2 linked regions of the Mus musculus genome follow. The protein of the gene in region 1 interacts with the protein of each later gene in a biochemical or structural test. Links are inferred from orthologs where the notes say so. Each region holds a gene or a part of one and is shown in the gene's direction. Other genes may lie near its edges.

Region 1 (3,521 bases):
CCGAAGACTTTGGTCCTAGGAGTTGAATGGCTCAGCACCATACAACTGGGTTTCTGTATGTTTCAGAATGCTCAGCATGTGGAAGTAGAGAGCATCCCTTTGCCAGACATGCCGCATGCTCCTTCCAACATCTTGATCCAGGACATTCCTCTTCCTGGTGCACAGCCCCCCTCCATCCTGAAGAAAACCTCAGCGTATGGGTAAGGAAGCCTTACATAATGGAGGGTGGACTGCAGGAGCAGGCCCGGCTAGCACAGCAGCAGCACGGGGTGCTGTGGCTGAGCGGACGGGACATGAGAGCCTGGAGAAGGTTCCTGCCACTCAGCGCCACTGTCCTTCTCCCCCTCCACAGGCCTCCAGCTCGGGCCGTGTCTATCCTTCCTCTCCTGGGACATGGTGTTCCCCGCTTGCCCCCTGGCAGAAAACCGCCCGGCCCTCCACCTGGCCCCCCTCCTCCTCAGGTTCTGCAGATGTACGGCCGGAAAGTGGGCTTCGCTCTAGATCTTCCCCCTCGGAGGCGAGATGAGGACATGCTGTATAGTCCAGAGCTTGGTAGGCAGGGGCAGGGGTTTCCTCCCGTGCCCTTCTCAGTATTGCTTCCATGCTGACCATAGTTAACGTTTGCTACACGGAGAACACAGGAACGCCATGAGGATGCTGTGCTCTTCTGCTGTGTGTCCCTGTGGATAATTTAGCACATCTGCCTGATGAAAGCACCTTAGATAGAATGTTGCTGCAGTTCCCATAAGACAGGAAGAGGTCTTCTCAGTTTCATCAGCGCTGACAAGAGTCACTGACTGTGTGTGAGACTTTACACAATTGTTTCTAATACAGTGTGTTTGCACTTCTTACAAGAAAACAAAAAAGTATTTAAAACTATTACCCAACGCAAATGTCATCATAATACATGGTAGCTGGCATTGCATATAGAAATGTTTTGCAAGTAATGTTGAGCCAAAATGGCATGCCTATTTTTGGATACCAGAGGGCCAACCGTGTCATGTGACTCTCGTGCTCTTTCTGTCATCAGCTCAGCGGGGTCATGACGATGACATGTCCAGCACCAGTGAAGACGACGGCTATCCTGAGGACATGGATCAGGATAAGCATGATGACAGTACTGAGGACAGTGACACTGACAGGTCAGATGCAGAGAGTGACGGGGATGAGTTCGGGCACCGCGAGGACAGTGAGCGCGACAACACTGAGGAGAAGAAGTCAGGTGTGTGCGGGTTAATGTGCCGGGCGTAGATGAACACCGCTGACCCCGGTGCTGAAAGCCCTGGCTTTTGTTAATTAGGTTCAGTGTGTGCGCGCCCGAGTGTACATGCGTGCTAGAGCATCTATGTGGCAGTCCCAGTTGGTTTTCCCGATCCACTGCACAGGGGGTGGGGATGCAGCTTGGGTGATTAGGTTTGGTGAGCCAGCTCACCAGTTCAGGACCAGCTTTTAGCTCCAGTTTGGTTTGGCTTGGTTTTGAGACGGGTGTCTATCACTGTTAATTAGGCTGGCCTCGAGCTCATGGTGACCCTCCTGCTTCAGCCTCCCAAGTTGTGGAGTTAGAAATAAATATAAGCCACCGTACCTGGCCATTTATTTGTCTTGATAGTTTGAAAGGTTTTGACATATTATTCTTACAGGTGTTTGTGAGGAAAGAGTAAGTATATGTAGTTTTTTAAAAGTTATGCAAGAAATTCCACTTTGAGGCAAAAATTGCTAATATACTCTATGATGAACGTGCAGTAGGAAAGGAAGAACATGCATGGTTTTAAATAAGCTTGTGTGCGTGTCTACACTGGGAGCTGGGTTTTCTGTTCTTCATGGGGCCTTTCATAAACTGGGTGACCTTTGTAATTCATATATACTTGTAATTTTATATATAATATATGTGTGTGTATATTATATATTAAATATTTTATATACATATATGTGTCTATACACACATTACATTAACATGTATAATTATATACTATGTATATGTATAAAAGTGTATTTTTCTATATGTCTGCACTGTATTTGTATTTAGAACCATACGCCTGTTCCTTCAAAGCTGGTCACTGGTTGGGAAAGCACCTGTGTAGCGCACTTGGCCTGCATGTAAACAAACCGTTCTCCAAGGGTCAGCTGTGAAGCACCGTTCAGAAAGATGTGTGTGTGTGTGTGTGTGTGTGTGTGTGTAGTGCTGGGGAGTAAGCCTAAGACTTGATGTATATTAAATATATTCAGTTCTGCTGTGTCCTCAATTGTGTGCACACTGTATGTTACGTTTTGTCACAAAAATTTTAAGCACTGTGTTTGGGTACTAAGCAGTGCCAAGCACACACTGAGTGTGTCAGAGCCTAGTAGCCGGGGAGCTTCTTAGGGGCTGTAGCTGTAGTCTCCAGGACGGCATCTGTATACTGTGGTTTTATTTATAAGATCAGCAAGTGACTCTCTTTTTTTTTTAATTGTGTGTGTCTGTGTGCCTCCTACACTTGCGTGTGCCTTGGAGACTACACGGCACTAGATCCCTCAGAGCTGGGTTGTCCAGAGCCCTCTGGAATGCATTAGTGCTCCTTAATCATGATTACGAATGAAAGAAAAGCTTATCAAAAAACTATCATAAATTGGTGTAGGAGCAAGCCTGATCTTGGAAAATTATAGAAGACTCATAAGTTGGAACTGGTCTTAGAAAGGAGAGTGGGGTAGAACTCCAAGTGCAGGACTCCCCTGTAAGACTGCATCCTCTCTCTACTCTGCGGCTGCCAGCTGCTGCTGAGGTCCTGGGGGGTGGCGCTGGGACAGGGTCTTCTGTGTAGCCTTGGCTAGCACAGGACTTACTGACTGGCCTTGAACTGACTGAAGTCCACCTGCTGCTTCCTACTGAACGTTGTGTTCCCCAGTGTGTGTGGACCTCAGATGGCTGGCCCAGCTGCACGTCCTCTCATCTGCTACTGCCTTTACCATAGCCAGGCATTTTTCTGGGCAGTAAAAGTCCAAGATACACTAAAGCTGAACCCACATAGAAATAAATATTCCCTTCCTTAAGTGTTGGCTAAGATGTCAGACACCAGATCAGAAGTGCAGTATCTGTCAGGGTTACTGAAAGATTCTGTAGTGGAAGTGGTGTTGGGGACCGATCATAATCTTTAATCACCTGTTAGAGTATTACTAAGATTTTCCCACCTTTTATGGGGCCTTTTGTCATGATTAGATTACTAATTTTCTAGTGTAAACCATTGGGTACTTTTGGTGCACCCTGCATGCTATGATCGATTTTCCTTACCCAGCACTGTCAGACTCAGTTGTGTTATATTTTATGTTGGTTAATAGGGTATGCTGGTTTCCTGAGTTGGTCAGCTTTCATCTTTTCTGTGACTTACTGTTTTGCTGAATTGCTAAAGAAAATTGTTGCTTTAAGATACATCTTTACCGTTTCAGCTTTTATGTTTAGGGCTTAAAATTGAATTATCTAATTCAGTTTATATACTTCTTAAGTATCCTAACATTTTCTGAACATTAAGTTTTAAGTTAATGCAGTA
Region 2 (2,203 bases), on another chromosome or scaffold:
GCATGTGGGACCATGAAGCAGATCTGGACGCAGGTTGAGGTGACAGGTGGTATAAGGGACATCTGAGCTGACACTCCCTCCCTCTCACTGCCCACAGCGGACTCCCTTACTATTGGAATGTGGAGACAGACCTTGTGTCGTGGCTCTCACCACATGATCCTAACTTTGTCGTTACCAAATCCGCCAAGAAAGTCAGGAACAATAATGCAGGTGAGTTGGCAGATGCAGGGATGCTTTAGTGATTCTTGCAGTCTCGGAGAGAGGCTGAAGAGAGACCATATGTGTAAGAGAGAGGCTTCAGGATTTGTGTGTTACCATAGATGCTGAGGACAAGTCGGACCGGAATCTTGAAAAGGTGGACAGAAATCATGAGAAGTCAGATCGTAGTCATGAGAAGCCAGACAGGAGCCACGAGAAGGCAGACCGAAACCACGAGAAGAATGACAGAGAACGAGAGCGCAACTACGACAAAGTGGATAGAGAGAGAGATCGGGACAGGGAACGAGAGCGGGCATTTGACAAGGCAGACCGGGAAGAGGGCAAAGACCGACGCCACCATCGCAGAGAGGAACTGGCTCCTTACCCCAAGAACAAGAAAGGTAAGCACAGCCGGACGAGGTGGTGCATGCCTTTAATCCCAGCTCTTGGGAGGCAGAGGGAGGTGGATTTCTGAGTTCGAGGCCAGCCTGGTCTACAGAGTGAGTTCCAGGACAGCCAGGGCTACACAGAGAAACCCTGTCTCAGAAACCAAAAAAAAAAAAAAAAAAAAAAAATAAAGAGAAAGAAAGAAAGGTAAGCACATGAGTTTGGGACTTACATGAGTCAAATGAGGTACCAGGGCACAGAATGTCTAGTTCATGCCTAGTCTTCTGAAGGGTGCTGTGGGCCATGTGAATCACTGGTATTACTTTTTCCTGTGAGGAGGGGCTCCTTGGTCTCAAGTAAAGAACTTATCCTGCTATTTATTTCTATAGCGACGAGCCGCAAAGATGAAGAATTAGACCCCATGGACCCCAGCTCATACTCAGATGCACCCCGGTAAGTGAAGCCTTTGGCAGTCTTTTTTGTTCAGGATTGCCACCATGCTTTAATCTTGGGCAATTAAGGGAGGCCCACTCCACCCTCTTTTTTTTTGTTTTTTTGTTTTTTGTTTTTTCGAGATAGGGTTTCTCTGTATAGCCCTGGCTGTCCTGGAACTCACTCTGAAGACCAGGCTGGCCTCGAACTCAGAAATCCACCTGCCTCTGCCTCCTGAGTGCTGGGATTAAAGGCGTGCGCCACCAACACCTGGCCACTCCACCCTCTTCCTGTACTCTAATTCTCTCTTGTCCCCAGGGGCACATGGTCAACAGGACTCCCCAAGAGGAACGAGGCCAAGACAGGTGCTGACACCACGGCAGCTGGGCCCCTCTTCCAGCAGCGCCCTTACCCTTCCCCGGGCGCTGTGCTCCGCGCCAATGCAGAAGCCTCCCGAACCAAACAGCAGGACTGACTGACCCCTTGTTCCCTGTAGCTTTGGCAGTTTGCGTTTCTGTGTTTCTTCCTTGTGGCTCTGGGACAGGAGCCATGGCTTCTATGTGCTGCATTATTATTCCACCAGTGAGCTACACTCCCGGCCCCTTTAGTGTTGTTTGTAAACAACAAGCCCTTGTTGTTTAATAAAAGCTTTTTTTGTGGAACATATCCATGAGGCTTGAGTGCTTCCTTTCCTCATCCTTTCCAGGCTTTCCAACCCAACTTCACAAGGTGCAAAACATTTTATTTGCAGAAACTCACCTAAGAAATACTGTAAAGATAGCAGGAGTAGAGGTGGGCCCATTAACAGAGGTTAGTCATGTCAGCCCTATGTGGGGCAGGGGTTGGTAAGGACAGGGAGTTCCCGTGTCTACCTCACCCTACCCCTAATACTGATAAGAGTTTAGTCCCAGTTGGGCCAGGGCAAGAAGGGAGAACGAAGACAGGCCAGCATCTTCAAGTCCAGCAGCTACGACCCCTTCACCTTGGTGAGCAACCTGTGGTGAAAATGGGAAGGAAAGAGAAACACAGAAAGCTGGGGTGGGCCGGTGGGTGGGTTTCCTAAGCAAGCGAGGCTGGTAGTAAGCTACTAATCTTGGAGTTAGTAATGGTGCTTATGTGGAAAGAGCAGGCCCCTGGGTCAGAAAGCTACACATGGACTAAATAAATACATCATCTTTATTTGGCA

Evidence for each region.
Region 2: the proteins of Wbp11 (region 1) and Pqbp1 form a complex in vitro, tested with the Homo sapiens proteins (2 studies listed by BioGRID and IntAct, with this or other methods). The link is inferred for Mus musculus from reciprocal best matches to the Homo sapiens genes WBP11 and PQBP1.

The regions. Positions count from the first base shown.
Region 1 is NC_000072.6:136,818,208-136,821,728, reverse strand, and holds part of Wbp11 (WW domain-binding protein 11), read left to right. Parts: intron 1-66; coding exon 67-200; intron 201-352; coding exon 353-552; intron 553-1,030; coding exon 1,031-1,222; intron 1,223-3,521. UniProt on the Homo sapiens protein: Activates pre-mRNA splicing. May inhibit PP1 phosphatase activity.
Region 2 is NC_000086.7:7,894,000-7,896,202, reverse strand, and holds the end of Pqbp1 (polyglutamine-binding protein 1), read left to right. Parts: intron 1-97; coding exon 98-210; intron 211-320; coding exon 321-599; intron 600-974; coding exon 975-1,038; intron 1,039-1,335; coding exon 1,336-1,492; 3' UTR 1,493-1,684; downstream 1,685-2,203. Other genes in the region: Slc35a2 (UDP-galactose translocator), read right to left, coding at 1,985-2,012. UniProt on the Homo sapiens protein: Intrinsically disordered protein that acts as a scaffold, and which is involved in different processes, such as pre-mRNA splicing, transcription regulation, innate immunity and neuron development.